4 linked regions of the Arabidopsis thaliana genome follow. The protein of the gene in region 4 interacts with the protein of the main gene of each other region in a pairwise test. Each region holds a gene or a part of one and is shown on either strand. Other genes may lie near its edges. The genes, in order: AT5G64780, NRP1, NRP2 and VPS9B.

What was found.
Region 1: the proteins of VPS9B (region 4) and AT5G64780 interact in a two-hybrid assay, tested with the Arabidopsis thaliana proteins (one large-scale study listed by BioGRID).
Region 2: the proteins of VPS9B (region 4) and NRP1 interact in a two-hybrid assay, tested with the Arabidopsis thaliana proteins (one large-scale study listed by BioGRID).
Region 3: the proteins of VPS9B (region 4) and NRP2 interact in a two-hybrid assay, tested with the Arabidopsis thaliana proteins (one large-scale study listed by BioGRID).

The regions. Positions count from the first base shown.
Region 1 is NC_003076.8:25,899,884-25,903,785, forward strand, and holds AT5G64780 (holocarboxylase synthetase), read right to left. Parts: upstream 2,245-3,902; 5' UTR 2,073-2,244; coding exon 1,914-2,072; intron 1,351-1,913; coding exon 1,270-1,350; intron 1,105-1,269; coding exon 817-1,104; 3' UTR 529-816; downstream 1-528. Other genes in the region: AT5G64790 (O-Glycosyl hydrolases family 17 protein), read left to right, coding at 2,830-3,176, 3,490-3,902.
Region 2 is NC_003070.9:28,017,084-28,022,021, forward strand, and holds NRP1 (NAP1-related protein 1), read right to left. Parts: upstream 2,967-4,938; 5' UTR 2,818-2,966; coding exon 2,689-2,817; intron 2,224-2,688; coding exon 2,101-2,223; intron 2,018-2,100; coding exon 1,967-2,017; intron 1,836-1,966; coding exon 1,764-1,835; intron 1,644-1,763; coding exon 1,530-1,643; intron 1,448-1,529; coding exon 1,383-1,447; intron 1,268-1,382; coding exon 1,204-1,267; intron 1,112-1,203; coding exon 1,083-1,111; coding exon of another isoform or gene 1,055-1,082; intron 968-1,054; coding exon 920-967; intron 780-919; coding exon 680-779; 3' UTR 501-679; downstream 1-500. Other genes in the region: CYP98A9 (cytochrome P450, family 98, subfamily A, polypeptide 9), read left to right, coding at 1-466; AT1G74580 (Pentatricopeptide repeat (PPR) superfamily protein), read left to right, coding at 3,694-4,938. UniProt on the Arabidopsis thaliana protein: Acts as a histone H2A/H2B chaperone in nucleosome assembly, playing a critical role for the correct expression of genes involved in root proliferation and patterning.
Region 3 is NC_003070.9:6,480,566-6,485,468, forward strand, and holds NRP2 (NAP1-related protein 2), read right to left. Parts: upstream 3,082-4,903; 5' UTR 2,899-3,081; coding exon 2,782-2,898; intron 2,478-2,781; coding exon 2,355-2,477; intron 2,260-2,354; coding exon 2,209-2,259; intron 2,121-2,208; coding exon 2,049-2,120; intron 1,926-2,048; coding exon 1,812-1,925; intron 1,720-1,811; coding exon 1,658-1,719; intron 1,536-1,657; coding exon 1,472-1,535; intron 1,386-1,471; coding exon 1,326-1,385; intron 1,230-1,325; coding exon 1,182-1,229; intron 961-1,181; coding exon 901-960; 3' UTR 548-900; downstream 1-547. UniProt on the Arabidopsis thaliana protein: Acts as a histone H2A/H2B chaperone in nucleosome assembly, playing a critical role for the correct expression of genes involved in root proliferation and patterning.
Region 4 is NC_003076.8:2,889,589-2,894,129, forward strand, and holds VPS9B (vacuolar protein sorting-associated 9A-like protein), read right to left. Parts: upstream 2,507-4,541; 5' UTR 2,429-2,506; coding exon 2,346-2,428; intron 2,074-2,345; coding exon 1,926-2,073; intron 1,838-1,925; coding exon 1,667-1,837; intron 1,580-1,666; coding exon 1,400-1,579; intron 1,279-1,399; coding exon 547-1,278; 3' UTR 514-546; downstream 1-513. Other genes in the region: AT5G09315 (vacuolar sorting protein 9 domain protein), read right to left, coding at 1-292; NAC082 (NAC domain containing protein 82), read right to left, coding at 3,035-3,643, 3,920-4,345.

The sequences.
Region 1 (3,902 bases), about 23 Mb from region 4:
AACTTTATTTTATTATGACCGTTTTGATACCCCATTGAAATGTATATGGACCTATGACCTGACTCCTGAAATAATTATGTGTGGACCTAATTATTTATAAATTCTTAGTGACAAGTTGTTTCGAACACTTTCAAATTTTATTATAGCTCTAGTTTATATGATTAGCTAGATGAGTTGATTAGACTTTTACGTTTGAAAACACCGTGGCAAATAAAAAAAGACACAAAATTTGGAAAAAATCTAGATAGAAATCAGCCAAAATGTCATTGTGCCAAGATGTAGTGACAATCTCCAGACAACCACCTTGATGAATGTCTTGTTAGTACAGATAACACCATGACCAAAAGAAGAAGAAAGTGTGATTCTGTAACTTTTGTTTTTATCTGTCCATAGATTTTTGAACGAGAAGTTTCTTCTGAGGATTAGCATAAACCACGTAGCTCGGCGAAGATCAACATCAGGGCAATGTTTTTGCAGACAAGTTGAATTGAAAGAGGGACCATGAGAGCACATGGAAGGTTTTGGCTTCAATTTTGATCATTAGTCTTTGTCTCTCTTTCATCACTGTTAACAAGTCTACATTTAAGTCTTGAGAGCTTTAGACAAGACATGAAATCATCATATCGCCTATCGACAAAATCACTATCAGAGATTTGTCTATCTTAAGGGTCAATTCACATTCATCCAGCTTCTTTGAAAGATTAGGAAAAAGTGTTTTGTGTATTACATGAGACAATACTTTACCACAAACAATTGAGACTTTACAATGGAATGATTTATGTTTTTCATCTTTCGGCAAATGAAACAAGATTTTATTCAGTAAGATAAGTGTTCACCTGTAGAGTTGGGATTGTAGTTATTATTACCAGACTCAGCCTCACACAAGTTGAAGTCCTGAAGGGTTCTTCGAACCGGACTTGAGAGACCATTTGGTGGAATCAAGAGTTTCTCTTGGTTACAATCATAATGTTGTTGTTGTGCTATGTGACTTGAAGGAACATGAGCTACTGATGTATTTACGTTTGGTGGAGCGAATTGGTGCTGATAAAACTCTTGCATGGGGAGTGGTATCGACGTCTCCTCAGGTTCATATTCAAGCGCATTCTGCATATATGGTTTTAAAAGGTAAACACGAATAACTTTCAGATCAAACTAAAGATCGTTGGGACTTTAATGCGTAGCTAGTCAAGAGAGGTATAATCAATCTGAATTCCAATTACATAGCAGGAGCGTAATCAGAAACGAGATACTGTTTTCAAAGGAAAGTACCTGTAAGTAGGTAGTAATATCAGCTGTGGATACTCTAGTTCCTTGTTCTTCTTGTCTCACAATCCATTGGTAAAGCTTCTCCTGTAAAAAGAAAGAAAAAAGTAAAACTCAATGGACCAATCAAACCTCAAATCTCATACTACAATGTCATGAATCACTATTGAATGACGCCAAGAACGTCAAGCTGCCACCAAAAGAGAACAGCCATCCTAGTTCATCAATCTAGTAAAAAACAAAAGTAAGCACTTCAAGATCAAAAGGCCACAACTTTTATCAGTAAGACTGCTTGCTTAGCCTCATATCTAAACTAGCTTCATAGATCATAACCAATTTCAGAGTGTGTCTCCAATTAACTCACGTACGACAATCAATCGAACATAAACAAGCCAAAGAGATCAACTTTACCAAAACAACACATAAGAAACAACATTGAATATCCATGATTCATTCTGTGACTCTAAAATCTCGAGAGCAAACAGAAACCCAACAACACATAAGCACTCAATTTACGATTCAAGATAGTCAACCAACATCAAAACAAGCAACGAGAAGAAAACTTTTCAACTATGTTTCTATCTATCGAACCCAGAAGCCAAAAATCGAAACTGGATATAAAACAAGGTCAAGAGAGAGAGAGCAGAGACCATTCCGCGACGTTCACCGGCGAGGAAAGAAACGCGTTGGTGATTCATGGCATGTGTATAGAGCTGCGAGAGCGAATTAGCAGCGCCTCGAAACGCGCCATACATGGTTCGATCAACCTCATCGAGCCGCGTAGCCTCGGATTTTCGTTTCTTCCCCATTAGAGTCCGAACGAATCTCACAAACCCTAGAAATAGAATTGTCCAAGTTCTTAACAATTTGTAATTTAGGGATTTTAGAAAGAAGAAGAAGGATTATTGCCTTATTGGTGAAGGGAAGAAGAAGAAGAAGAAAGACTTGTGGCATTTACTCTGTAGAGATTCTGCCACGTGGCTTTCATGCTACTTTTAAGGGTCCCATATATCTAAAAACCTGGGCCCCACTATTGGCTTTGCAGACAAAAATTTTGAAGCTTTGGACTGTTTTTTTTTTCTTTGGTCCACGAATTTTTTTTTTTATGTGTAGAACCAAACCGTTAATAATTTGTGGATCTTCAATGAAAATAGTAGCTAATCACATATTTTGAGTTCAGACTGATTTATATACCAAAAATTAATATTAATAAACTGCTATCTCATTGTTTCAAGGATGTATTCGTTTAATAAGCAATTCGACCAATTATTAACAGCGATATACTCTCTTAACCAAAAAAAAAAAAACTAACTGATTCCGAAAAAAATACACACCTCTTTGTAGCTTGTAATTCTTTCTAAAAATAGAAATTTATTTTAAGCTTAATTAATCTTTCACTAACAACCTAAAAACATTCCTATTACAACGACCACCCAAGACACGAAAAAGAATTTTACCGACTGGAAGAAGAAAAAACATCAACCAGACAAAAGAAAAGAAAACAAAAACACATCTTCGAGATCAAACAAACCCTAATTATCATCCATCGTCGCCTTCTCAATATATATGGCCGGAAGAGCAGCGATGCTCGTTAACGTCGGGACGGTTATAATGACCGTTTTGACCCTGGCTAGTTTGGTCGGAGGCTTCGGTGTGAATTGGGGCAATATCGCATCACATCCGTTGAATCCCAACATTGTTGTTCAGATGCTTAAGGACAATAAGATCAATAAAGTGAAGCTTTTTGACGCTGATTCATGGACGATGAATGCTTTGGCTGGTACGGGCATGGAGGTTATGGTTGGAATCCCTAATAACCTTCTTGAGTCTCTCGCAGATGATTACGATAATGCTAAAGATTGGGTTAAAGAAAACGTGACCCAGTATATTCGTAAGGGTGGCGTCGACATCAAGTAACCTTCAAAACTTTTTCATTTTTTTGTAATCATGTTTTTACCATAATTCTATCTGATCGACTACATGATAAACCGATTTGATAAATAGATCGATTTTGGTTGGCTATTTATTTCCAATTTGAACAAAATCGCACCAATGAGATGATTTCATTTATTCAGACAATTTTTTTCCTGTTAATTTTTAATATTCTTAGTTTCTTGTTAAAATTTAATAATAATAATAAATTTGACATTATATTCATCTAAATACCTACAAACCGGTAAAAGTCGCTGTTTTGGGTGTATATTTGACCGAGAATTCATTCACTAGGTACGTAGCCGTGGGGAACGAGCCGTTTTTGTCTGCATACAACGGATCGTTCTTGAAGACAACATTTCCAGCGTTAAAGAACATTCACAAGGCGTTAAAAGAAGCTGGACACACCAATATAATGAAAGCCACGATCCCACAAAACGCAGAAGTTTACCAATCAGCCAACGACAAGCCATCAGAAGGTGATTTCCGCAAGGATGTCAAACAAACGATGCTTGATATCGTCAATTTCTTCCACGAAAACGACTTACCTTTCACCGTCAACATTTACCCTTTCCTTAGTCTTTACCTAAACGAGCATTTTCCCGTTGAGTTCGCTTTTCTTGACGGTGATGGTCAGACAATGACTGACAAAGGAAAGAATTATGATAACGTGTTTGACGCCAATTACGACACACTTGTTTACGCGT
Region 2 (4,938 bases), on a different chromosome or scaffold from region 4:
ACTGCCGTTTCTGCAATGCGTACTCAAAGAAGCTCTCCGGCTTCACCCTCCAACACCATTGATGCTTCCACACAAGGCCAGCGAATCAGTTCAGGTAGGTGGGTACAAAGTTCCTAAGGGAGCCACGGTTTATGTCAACGTGCAGGCGATTGCTCGAGATCCTGCAAACTGGAGTAACCCAGATGAGTTTAGACCAGAGAGGTTTCTTGTGGAGGAAACGGACGTTAAAGGTCAAGACTTTCGGGTTCTTCCGTTTGGGTCGGGAAGACGGGTGTGTCCAGCCGCTCAACTCAGCCTCAATATGATGACATTAGCACTAGGTAGTTTGTTGCATTGTTTCTCATGGACATCCTCTACACCTCGAGAACACATTGACATGACCGAGAAGCCTGGATTAGTTTGTTACATGAAGGCTCCATTGCAGGCTCTAGCTTCGTCCAGGCTGCCACAAGAGTTATACCTTTAACTTTTAACTGAGATAGATTATATTAATCAACATAAGATAAAGAGAGATTCTCAATTGCGAAAAACAGATGTAGTTATGGCAAGATTTAGGACATGGATGATGACATGGTTCGTACAAACAGAATGTAGCTATTGATAGTAAATAAACTAAATATTCCAAAAGAGAAAGCTTAGTCTCATCATTGCTAAAATTGAGAACCTCATAACACAAACTTTACACATCTGTTATAGAAGCAAGCCAGCAATGTGTTATCTTTGGGCTCCCATCATTCCTCACCATCTTCCTCCTCTTCATCGTCATCGTCTTCTTCTCCCTGAAGAGATTATGGTTTCAAAGATTTTCAAGGTTAAGAGATGGTGCACAGTAACAAAACATGTGACTCATAATAACAATGTCCAGACTGATACTCAATTAATCAATGTATTTTGAGGAGCAATGAGACAATTGTTTTACCTCTTCGTCACCATCATCATCTCCATCAAAATCCTCTTCATCAGCATCCTACATACATCAACAAAATCTTTAAGCAACTTATTACCTCTACAGAAAGAGGATTCAAGATTGAAAGTGAAATGATAAATAGTTTACATTGTTGAAGTAGGTGAGAGGGTTGGACCAGAGATCTTCCTTGATAATATCAGCAACCTGCTCCGAGAGAAGATTTCGGAGTTCAAATTGGGCAGATAATAAAAACGGTCTATAACGTATAACAAGTCAGAAAGTAGATGAGTATGTACCTCATCATGAATCTCATCCCCAGCATCTTCCTTATGTTGAGCATCAGTAAACCAAGTAAAGAAACTGAAGAGAAAGTTAAATGGAAAGAATTTAACTTTTTGTATCATATTCATCATATATTCATGACCACAAGAATTTCACTAAGAATATGATCACTTAATGGGGTCTAGAACAATACCTCTCCTCTGGCAATGCACGTTTATTTCCTTTCTTATCATCATGGTTCACTCCATTTGGCAAGCCCTACATTATTGAGAAACATCATTAAAAATAACGCCGAAGAGAGACAAATAAAGTAAGAAACTTATTATCTGTTTATATTTACCTTGCCCTCCTTCCATTTGATAGGAGTTGCAGTGATTTTTGTTGTTCCTTCTTCAAGGAAAGTAAATGTCTTGGTAAGCTTGGCATCCTCAAAGAACGGGTTTGAAGTGAAGTGCTGCGATTGATACCCCCAATTTAACAAGTTAAATAACAACAAAACCCAGTAATCTTCTCAGATCAATATGAGAAGACAATAACAACAGATTAGAAAAATGAGCTGGATAAAGAAACATACAAAAGTTATAGAGTATCCAGATTTCACATCTTTGGCATCCTCCACTTCCAGAGAGTTCAAGTACTTAAAAATCTGTAAAAACAGGGAAATCAAATGAATTGGTAAAAAGTAATGTAACTGTACAGAAAAAATGAATGCCAATCGGATAGTTATCGCCTTATCGGCATTATAATCTGGAAAACATGCCGAAAGATAACTCAAACCTTTTGGTCTTCTTCAGTCAAGAGGTCGCCTAAGGCAGGATGACTCAAAAACTGCAAAGAATGTGTAATGGTCATTGGTCAATAAGTAGTAGATGTTTAAAAACAGTAACTGAAAACAACCTATAAACACTTACAGCAGTCATCCAAAAGCCAGGAATCGATTGGATAACTTCATTGCGCTTGTCATAGACAGGTTTCCGTATCACGTTATATTTCTGCTCTACTTCCAAGACCTCGTCACTGGCCTTTTCGTTAATCTATAACCAACAAACCAGAGTTAGGAGAAAGAAGAAGAAAAAAACACTCATTAGAGTTCATGTCAATTCTAACTGTACTTATGAGTTAATGATATGCAATTGTTTGAGCTTTAACTTCTCAAACAGTACTCTTTCCACTAACTTCTCTATAGCTATTGGAGGAGTAATTACAGAGAGCAGTCACATGAATTAAATTATAAATAAGCAGAAATCACACAACATGTTCTCAAATTGCATTGTACGAATACACAACTATCACTACTGTAGCAACAATACAAAAAGACGATCCTTCATTCAAATCCAGCTACATATGAACATTAAAGTAAAATCTGTACCATAAAAATCAAAATTGGAATCCATTCAACTTTACCAGGATACAGAGCACATGACACCGGTTAAGAAAAAGGGGAAAAATCTGGAGAATCAGAGCAAATTAACGAAAAGTGAAAGAGGAGATTTTTTAACCTTCTCGAGGTCGTCTTGAATCTCCTGAAGCTTCTCAATTGAGAGAACAAGCTCTGCGTCGATTTGCTCCAAGTTTTCTTCTTCGCCTTTCTCTTCAATTTTCGACTTCTTGCTCTTGTCCGCGACCATTTTCAGTTCACTTCCTTTGAGGAAACCCTAATTCCAAAGAAAGAGAGGATTTTGGCTCCTCCTTTTGGTCTCTTCTCTTCTTGTGGTTCCGTCACAAGAGAATCAGCTAAAACCCTAGCTCCCGATGAGAGTTTATGCTTGTGAAGTGTGAGAGTGGGCAAAAGGGAACTTAGGGTTTTGAGGGGTTTATGTGGACCAATCAGGTTGCGCCAGCTGAAGCAAATAAGGGTATATTAGTCAATTTAAAAATCAATATTAGGGTACTTTAGAATTTTCTCTTCACTTGCTTTTTTAAGTTATCCTATTAAAATAGTTGATTTAATAAAAGCGGATTAAGTCATTTAATTTTTCCCTTTTTGTGTCGTATGATTTTACTTCAGGACCACTAAAACATTATTGCTCTAAAATATTATAACTTGACAAAATATATCCACTTTAAAATAAAACAATTTGAGAAGAAAAAAACAAAAAAAAAAAGGAAATGTTGACAGTGGGATTTGAACCCACGCCCTTTCGGACCAGAACCTTAATCTGGCGCCTTAGACCAACTCGGCCATATCAACTTTTGTGTTCTAGAAAGAAAACATAATTATTTATTCAAATTATTCCTACGCGCTTCTTCGCCGAGTGCGATGGGTTTACTACTCCCAGCGTTGTAGCCGTTGAAGCTCATCAGTGAACTTTACTTTCATCCATTGTAATTGATTTCTCCAGTTGTTTTCTGAGTCTCCTCATTGAGAAAGGATCTACCTTTTTCTCGATTTTATTCTCTCCGCTGAGAATTGTCTAGGGTTCTTCTGTCTTCTTTGCTATTTCTCTCGTATCTGGATTTTAGGGATTCAAAGTATTTTCATTAGGTTACGATTATTCTCCTTTATGGGTCCTCCTCTGCTTCCGAAACATGTAACTGCAGTTATAAAATGTCAGAAGGATCCTATGAAAGCTCTAGAAATGTTCAATTCGATGAGAAAAGAGGTTGGTTTCAAGCATACTTTATCTACTTACCGCAGTGTCATCGAAAAGCTTGGATATTATGGAAAATTCGAAGCCATGGAAGAGGTTTTAGTGGATATGCGGGAGAATGTTGGTAACCATATGCTTGAAGGGGTTTATGTTGGGGCAATGAAGAATTATGGTAGGAAAGGGAAAGTTCAAGAAGCTGTTAATGTGTTTGAAAGGATGGATTTTTATGATTGTGAGCCTACGGTTTTCTCTTATAATGCTATTATGAGTGTATTGGTTGATAGTGGTTACTTTGATCAAGCTCACAAGGTGTATATGAGGATGCGGGATAGAGGTATTACGCCTGATGTTTACTCGTTTACGATTAGGATGAAGTCGTTTTGTAAGACCAGTCGGCCTCACGCTGCTTTGAGGCTTCTTAATAATATGTCTTCTCAAGGCTGTGAGATGAATGTGGTTGCTTATTGTACTGTGGTTGGTGGGTTTTATGAGGAGAATTTTAAGGCTGAGGGATATGAGTTGTTTGGGAAGATGCTTGCATCGGGTGTTTCGCTTTGTCTTAGTACGTTCAACAAGCTTCTACGTGTTCTTTGCAAGAAAGGAGATGTTAAGGAGTGTGAAAAACTACTTGATAAGGTTATCAAAAGAGGTGTTTTACCGAATCTGTTTACTTATAATTTATTCATTCAAGGGCTTTGTCAGAGAGGTGAGCTTGATGGTGCGGTTCGTATGGTAGGTTGTCTCATAGAACAGGGACCCAAACCTGATGTCATCACGTATAACAATCTTATATATGGCTTATGTAAGAATTCCAAGTTTCAGGAGGCAGAGGTTTACTTGGGGAAAATGGTGAATGAAGGGCTTGAGCCTGATAGTTATACCTATAACACACTAATAGCTGGATATTGCAAAGGTGGGATGGTACAACTTGCAGAAAGGATTGTAGGTGATGCTGTTTTCAATGGATTTGTGCCTGATCAGTTCACATATCGCTCCTTAATTGACGGGTTGTGTCATGAAGGTGAAACAAACCGTGCTTTAGCTTTATTTAATGAGGCCTTAGGGAAAGGGATAAAGCCTAACGTTATTCTTTACAACACACTGATCAAGGGATTGTCTAACCAGGGTATGATTCTAGAGGCTGCTCAGTTGGCGAAT
Region 3 (4,903 bases), on a different chromosome or scaffold from region 4:
AGATAATGGCTGCGAGTAGTTAATACTTTTCAGGTGATTCTTGTAGTTAATGGCCTCTTAAGAAATGAGAAATTAAATCTTGTTGTAGGTTATTAATAAAGTTGTTTAGAGAGCAATTTTATTAAATACCACTTTTTAGTAAAACTAGGTGATTCTATGATCAGTTTTTTACTCTTTTGTTTCTCAAGACTGTTTCCATTCGTTTCGGTTCGGATTTAACCGGTTTAGACACTCATAGGCGTAGGTCGTTCTGAAACATTTGAGTCTTTAGAGACTTTTTTGTTCTTCTGTACAACTAGAGCTAACCAGAATCTGAAATTTTTCGAGCATCTTTATACTATACAATAGATATTACAACTTCTTGCTTTGTTCTAGTGATCTGAAAGAGGAACTTACAGGAGTTAGTAATCATATTACTAGGTTAATCAAAGACAAAAAGTATATACATACCTTCAGACCAAACAATAAAGATACCAAAGGGTTTCTCAAAAATCCTGATATAAGAGAACAGAGTCATGTCACCAGACAAAATAAACTCCGTTCATCTGTCAAGCAGATCGGCTATATTTTCACCATAAACACACAAATTCTCTATTCAGTAAAGTCAAAGAAACACAACAGACATGAAATTACAAATATAATTCTCTTTAAGAAGACAAAAGATGAAGAAGCTATTATGTAAGACTCAAAAACCATTTAAGCAGGATTTTCCAACAAAAGGCTGAAAATGGTTTCTTACAACAAGATATAACTATTACGGTAAAATAAAATTAAAAGCTTGTCTGTTGTCGTCATAATCCACTTTTGCTTAAAATTAAAAACCTTTCAACACACAAAACTTTACACACTCTGTTATAGAGAAGACATGTAAGCAAATGTGGTTTCTGGGTATCCCTGCCATCATTCCTCACCAACTTCGTCTTCTTCGTCATCATCTTCATCAGAGTCACCTTCTTTCTCCTAGAGACAGATATGGTTTTGAAAAACTTATCAGGCACAACTTATAATGGAATCTCCAGAATTTAAATGGTTTCAGGCATTAATAATAACACAATGTTCTGTCTTAAGATATCTCTATCTAATCTTTCATCTCATTATGCACATTAATTAGCATATCATAGATGCAGTAATTTTTAAGTAGAAAACTCAACCAAACAAAGGAAATAAGATGAGGCTTTTACCTCTTCATCTCCATCATCGTCTCCATCAAAGTCCTCTTCATCAGCGTCCTACAAAGTTACATTTAACAATTTACCAAAATCTCCAAGCAACTTAAGCGCTCTAAACCAAGTAAAGACTGAAAAATGATATGGTGAGTAGCTTACATTGTTGAAGTAGGTGAGAGGGTTGGGCCACAAATCTTCCTTGATGATATCTGCAACCTGCTACAAGACGAATTTCCGAGTTCAAGTTGGGCCATACATGGAGTTACTCTTACAATCAAGTCATAAAAAAAATATAGGATCATTACCTCGTCTTGCATCTCATCCTCAACATCCTCCTTGTGTTGAGCATCACTAAACCAGGTAAAGAAGCTGAAAAAAGACAGGTAAAAGATAGAGAGTCCTTAGACGTGTAATGGCTAATAAGAATGGTGCCAAGAGTTTTAACTTGGATCTATGATGGGTTTCAGTGAAATGGGGGAGATGAGAAATACCTCTCTTCAGGTAGTGCACGTTTGTTTCCATTCTTCTCATGATTCACTCCATTCGCCAGGCCCTTGATAATTGAGAAATATAGTTAAGAATAATCTCAAAAACAGTGACAGCTTAAGAAATAAACTTATTTTATGCAATAAAGATCCATTTTACTTTGCCCTCTTTCCATTTGATAGGCGTGGCTGTGATTTTGGTTGTCCCTTCTTCGAGAAAGGTAAAAGTCTTTGTCAGTTTTCCATCTTCAAAAAATGGATTGGGATTGAAGGACTGCAATTCACAATGTAACAACAATCAGTAAACGAATAAACTAAACAACTTGGCTTTCTTAGATCAATCAGAGATATATCAATCAAATTATGATAAAGTCGCATAATAACAAAAGAAACTTACAAAAGTGATAGAGTATCCAGATTTCACATCTTTGGCATCCTCAACATCAAGAGAGCTAAGATATTTGAAAATCTGTTCAAAAACAGAAATATCGAATCAACAGGACAAAGAATGAAAACTGTGAATCAATCAATCAAAATCTAATAAGGAAAACACAAACCTTTTGGTCTTCTTCAGTCAAAAGTTCACCTAAAGCAGGGTGACTCAAGAACTACAACAAATGTAAATTTCCAAAATTCCAATTAGAGAAAACATTGTTTAAAACTCTGAATTGAAAAAAAAAACAGAACAGAGAGTCTGGCTTACAGCAGTTAACCAGAAATCAGGGATGGTTTTGATGATCTCGTTACGCTTGTCATAAACAGGTTTCCTTATCACATTATATTTCTGCTCCACTTCCAACACTTCATCACTAGCCTTTTCATTTATCTATCAAAACCAAAACCAGAGAGGTCACTGAGAGATTGGACTCAACACAACAATTCAATCCTCAAACAGTTTTATTGACAAAGTCAATTTGAAAGCGACCACATTTCACTCGAAAGACACAACAACAACATAATTACTAATAAAGATACTGACTTTTCTTTATAATTTGTCCACTAGAAATCTGAATCGAGAGAGAGTCCAACACAACAATTCTCATTGATCAAAGCAATAAATGAACATCGACTAAAGGAAAATTCACGAGAAAATTTAAACATGGGGATTGTTAAAAATTTTTGGAATTTACCTTCTCGAGGTCGTCTTGGATCTCTTGAAGCTTTTCGATTGAGAGGACAAGCTCTGCATCGATTTGCTCGACGTTTTCTTCTTCGGTTTTCGCCTTCTTGCTCTTGTCTGTCACCATTTTCGATTCCAATTGAGAAAACCCTAATTGCAAAAAACGCAGAGGAATTAGACTTCCTCTTCCCTCTTCTCTCTGGCTTCCGAGAGAGCAACCGCTAAAACCCTAAAAACTCGATTGTGTGATGCGTGAATCTGGGCAAACTGATTTAGGGTTTTGGGGGTTTTGTTAACCAATTAGATTACGTCACGTTACAGAAGAAGGGTATTTTTGTCATTTAGAGCCGGGAATTTCATATGTTTCTTTTGTTTAGGTTTTTTATTTTATTTTTATATAATTGGTTTTGTGATTTAAAAATAATAGAATCTACCCATCCATATATAGATTAATGGTGATTAAGTGATTAACAAAAATATATCTAGCTTAAATGATGTGATGTTGTTTAAGTTTTTTTATGATTAAAGAAAAAGTCATGTGTTGACAACAACAAAAGTCATGTATTGACAACAACAAAAAATTCATGTAATTGGTGACAAAAACAATATTAGGTAACAAATCAAACAATACAATCATGATGATTTCTTAATAACTTATCTGATCAACCCACCCTTTATATAATTTTCTGTGTGGATTAAATTAAATTTCTTATCCATGGGCTCAAAATGGGCTTCCCAGGGAACTTTACGGGCTACTGAAATAATGTAATTGCAACAGTCTATACATGGGCCACTATTAATAAACCTCTTGAGACCCAAATAAAATGTTTGTTTTTTTTGGTGTAAAGGAACCAATGTTATTAAGTTAAGTTATTAAGTTATTAACTACTCCATTTTTATACGTTTAAAAGGATCACATTTATGAATAAAAAGGTGTCATATTATTCATATTCAACGGTTGATTTATTGGAGTTGTTTGGCTCTAGTTGGGTATTTATGTGTATGTATATCAGACAAAACATAATAATAGGTATACTTCTTTTTCCTATTTAATATCGAATGGAATTGGGTAAGGTGGTCACAAAGTAATTAATATTGTTGAAAACATTCTTCACAGCTGGTGGTACCACAATACTTGATTTAAATACATAGAAAATATTAGTATAGACATAATTTTCGGCTTCCACTAATTGTAAACAAATATGGTAGTACATTAATTTCGTTATATTCTGTCGAACCATTAGAAACGAATCAGCAATGAATTATTTCGCTTAATATTAGTTTTTTTAAGTTTTGTTCTGTAAAGAAAAAAAGAATGTCAAGTTTTGTTCATATGTGTATTAGTTAAAATGTTTATACAGTAACATCTTAATATGTAGATTTATTAAGATGTTACCGATATGTATTAAAACTTTATTCAATAAATATAGTGCTGTCTAAGGCGGTCCAATTAATTATATATTTTGCATCCAATGCCCATACTCTGTTTATTCGTTATTTGAACAAATTAGCTCGTTTCGAGTTATTGAATTGGTCCCAATTTGAGAACATTCCCCTTCACATTTACTACTAACCAACCCTAAGTTTGCAATTGCATGGCTACAAATATATATCCGACGTTAATGCCAGTTTTGTGTAGTCTCATAGAGACTAATTGATATTTCCTTGTCTCGACGTCAAGTTCTCATCGTCGTCTCTTATTATCCACATGCTGATATGCATAATTTGTAGGGTCGTGACTCACGGGAGGGATCTATATAATTACGATGTTTTATTATATAATCCATTCCAATTAATGCGTAACGTCCATGGATGTGATATGGTGAAACATGTGGTGTGGAAATGATAATCCTTATATTTTAGTGTCATTTCTTAAAAGTTGCAAATATGGTATAACATGCAGAAACATAGTTAAGAACTTAAATCATATTCCAAAGAAGATAGTAAATCTAATAAGCAACATGTATTATTGTACGATGGTCGAAGACTAAAAAACTGGAGTGAATATATATATGTTCAGTGGTTACTTTGTATCAATTTTGTTCCTGGATAATTTGGGTTTCTGAATTGAATTTCAAAATTATTATAGAATTCATCGTAAAATATAGTGTGACTGGTTAGCTAGTGTCTGA
Region 4 (4,541 bases):
TAGAAATGATTACACGATCAAGCAGAGCTGAGGAAGAAGAAGTCGTGGAAGTAGAAGGAACGGGAGGAGGAGGAAGAAGTGGATTGGCTCGCTTCAGGGCTTGAACCGCTTGAATCGCTTCGATACTGAGCATTCGTCCTCTCTGCAATGGTTTCCTGTTCTTGCTACGGTCTCTCATTTTTATCACCATAGCTCGCTGGAGAATCTGAATCCGGCCACCGGTACCACCGCGTAGCTTGAATCCGAGACGGAGAATATCATCTCCGCAACTTCGCAGTCCAATCCCTTCCATAGTCGCCGTTAAGCTCTGTTCCTCTGAGTGGTGTGGGAATGGCAGAGGAGCAGAAAATGAAGCGAAATTACAATAATACCCTTTTCGCTTATCTTGGTTTCATATCTTGTAATGAACCCTTAACCGGTTCTCAGATAAAACCGGTAAGTGTTTCAATTTGTCGTATAACCGTAGAACCGTATAATTAGTGAATGTAAAATTACATGTAGCATTCAAGAACTGAATCCGATTACATTTGGAAGAGATAAGTCTGATTATTGTTTTACATCTGAGATATTATGAACATTGTCTCCCTCACCTTGTAGAGCTCGAAACAAATTATCAACGCTCCTGTCAGTTTCGCTTTTCGTTTGAAAATCTGAAGACAATGTTGTATGATTCTCAGAGACTTTAGACGCTTGCAATGGTGAAATGCATGGAGTTAAAGATGTTGCATCACCCAAGCCTTTGGAAAGGCAAACATATTTGAAAACTAGCTGTTTATAATTATTAAGCAAGTCTTCAACATCTCCTATCTTTAAATCACCAACACTGGCAAACATGTAAGGATATTCTTGAAATATTTTGGTTGCCTCACTTCTATCATTCAAAAGCGTAGCAGCGCCCTTATTTTCCAAATCGGTAATGGGGTCAGCTTTCTTTATTGGTGTTTCACTCAGTGTTTCATTGGTACCAGAGAAACTATCAGTTGATTTTGTATGCAGAAGCATGTTTTCCCTCTTAGTATTATGAGCAGTGGGTAATGCAGCACCGTGATCCGTTTGATAAGACTGGCTTCCCGGACCAGAAAGACGTGCATGTGCAGATTTCATTTTAGTTTCAAAGTCAGCTTCATCCATGGAGAGGGATTTTGCATCAATATTTGAGATGAATGACTCTGCAGAGAGTATGTTGGTGAATAAGTAGCCAGCTTCGCCAACCAGTTTAGATTGACGCCTATATCTTTGTATATACAACAAGTTTGAGTGAAACTGGGGAGGGTTAGCCTGGAGAAACAAAGCAAATAATGTCATTTTCAGAATCCAAGGATAAGAGTTAATATGAAGTAAACATGAGACATATTCAGAAATAGCTTTTGCTTAAATTGTACAATCCTTGACAACATACCTTAATGGTAACATATATGAGAACAGGAAGAAATTGGTCAGCTCCAGGTTCATTCTGGTTTGAAGCAATTGAAGCATTTAGAAGTAAGTTATTAATGACTTTGCAGCACCTAAGGATACACATAAGCTTATCACGAGGAGCATTGTACATATTTATCTTCTGGAGCTCTTTTTGAGCTAGCTGCCATAAAATAAGAAAAAAAAACATCACAAGTAAGAACCATTATAAGAAAACAAGCAACACTATGGAGAGATAGATGTGACTTACAAGCCAAGATGTTTGGTTTTGAAAAGTTGGTTGTATATCCAAGTTTTCAGGAGATATGAACTGTTGAACCAAGGAAATCTTCTGAAAGAGTTTCTCATCGGATATAACATCCTCGGTGTTTGATGCAAAAACCCGGGGAAATAACTTTGTCATGACATACTTCTCCAGGCCCTGTGTATACATAAATTAAGTCAAGAAAGATTATTATAGATAAATCATGAGAGAGATAAGCAGGAAAAAGGGAAGAAGAATAACTCACATCTCCCGCATTGTCTAACTCATCATCGGAACAACCAGACCAAAGTGGATGAGCCCTGAAAGCAGACTCCATCTTGTAAAAGAAGTCCTGAACTGCATCACAATCTTTTTCAGGGTCTGGTGCAGTGTTCAAGATCGAAACAATGAAACTGCAAAACATCAAAAAACGTTCACAACTCAAAAAACCAGTGGCATGTGATGTTTCCATCACAACAAAAATCTGCTTAAGTTTATAGCAAATCATCGATATCATAACATTGTCGCAAAAACGAAAAAAACTATTCATAACTACTAGAGAGCAATGTGAAATCAGCAAGATATCTTATCTTGCACACATGTAATCATAACTAGAGAGTAAATAAACCTAAAGTATACAAAAAGCGAAGAAGAGAAGCGAGAGAGAGAGAGAGAGAGAGATAACCTTTTGATTGATTTGATGAAATCTTTGGCGGAGGGTTTACTCAAGAAATTATGCAGACCCGAGACGACGTCTGTGTTCTCCATCAATCCCCCAAGATACCGTACGATCGACGACAATCAAAATTGAATTCTTTGTCAGCAAGGTTTTTAGTGGAAAGAGATCAAATCGGCTTTTTAATACACGAGATGATGAATAATGATGCGGTGGGAAAGCTAAAATATTGGGCCAACGAAATAGGATTCGAAACGAAGCCCATTTAAGCCCTACATCTACATCATCTGTTATGGTCCTAAATCTGGTACGATACTTTCTTCTTCTTATTTACTTTTTTCATTCTTCGTTTTTACTTGGAACTTTTGTTCCTCCCGATTAGTTTTTGTGTTTTTCAGTATTCATCATTAAAATTCCTTTTAGTATTAATGATATGATTTAGACAGAAGAAGTATATATACAATAATCCATAGCAAAATAGAAACAAGAATAAATGTTGAGAATACTCTGAAGAAATACGAGATTCTAAGGATGAAACAGAGAATGTTGATAGGGAAGTTTCGACACATTAAAAAGATTTTGACTAATAAAAATCATAATTCAAAGACAAGAAACAAAGGTGCTTGCTCCTCCTTCTATTCGGTCTGATTTGCATCTGTTGGATTTGTAAATCCTGCTTCTCTTCTCTTCTTCTTTTTTTACATTTTTGGTCTATGTCTCATGGAAGCAGAAAAGCCATAAGGATCATCATCATTACCACCAGAGAAGTCAAAATGGCCTTGATTATACAGAAAGGAGGAGCTTCTCGGGTCATTGCGATTCCCAGTTTGAGGATTTAATGGAGCAGTGAGGTCTTGTAGCCCAGTTTGAGGATTAAATGGAGAAGTGAGGTCATGTAGCCCAGTTTGAGGATTAAATGGAGCAGTGAGGTCTTGTAGCCCAGTTTGAGGATTAAATGGAGCAGTGAGGTCTTGTAGCCCAGTTTGATGATTAAATGGAGCAGTGTGGTCTTGTAGCCCAGTTTGAGGATTAAATGGAGCAGTGTGGTCTTGTAGCCCAGTTTGATGATTAAATGGAGCAGTGAGGTCTTGTAGCCCAGTTTGAGGATTAAATGGAGCAGTGAGGTCTTGTAGCCCAGTTTGGGGATTTAATGGAGCAGTGAGGTCTTGTAGCTCTAGGTATAACTCCGAGTTTTCAACTAGGTCGTAAGAGGCCGTCCTTGGCATGCTGCTCAACTCTGGTAGTCCGTTGAAAATGCCTTCTTCTTCTAAGCAAACTGGAGCTGAGACACCGGGATCATATCTTACCTGTAGATTGATTAAATATGAGAATGTATTTTGCAGATACAAAAGAGCACATATTGATGTTGGAGAACAAGCAGATACAAAAGAGCACATATTGATGTTGGATACTAAGATCGAAGATATAGCAAAGAAGCTTTGTCTAATGGGTAACTACTACGTTCCAATGCCACTAAAACACTTAACAGCTTTAAAGTAGCCTTGCTAGCTTAAGAACATGCAGTGACACCGGCTTGTTATCACTATACTAAGCCAAAGAAGAAGAATGCAAAAAAAAACTACCTCATTATTGTTGAACCCTAAGAACTCTTCGTCATCATCAAATAGATCCAACATTGAATATAAGTCATCATTGTTGGGGGTCTGAACGGTCTCTGCCAGAGGTGCAGTAGACATAGGAGTGGTAGCTGCATCACTTGGATGTGGAAGCTCGCTGGTGGTATTAGTTGTAGCTGGTAGGAAATCCGAGACACATGACTCTGATATCATGCCACCAAAACAATCCTTATTGGAGTCATCTGGGGCAGTCAAAGCCAGAGTGGTTTCTTTGCTAGGCTCAAGAAGGTTTGTGGGATTACTAGTAGAAGGAACATCAGTACGTACTTCCTCATCACTCCAGTCCTCTTCCTTAAACGGAGCTCCATATTGAGCTCCATTTCTAGGTCCAGGACCATCTTTCTTGAACAGAACACACACCACATAAGTATCCTGCAGTCCAAAACATAATTGTAAGTAAAGAGAGAGTGATATAAGCTTACATGGATGATACATAAATCTATAAAACTAAACAAGCAGGAAACAATATATAAGTGGAAGAAGGAAAAAATTGCAGGCAGGACAGTAACACACTATCAAAGCAATTAAGGAACAAATTAAAACGGCAAGCTATCATCAGTAAATACTC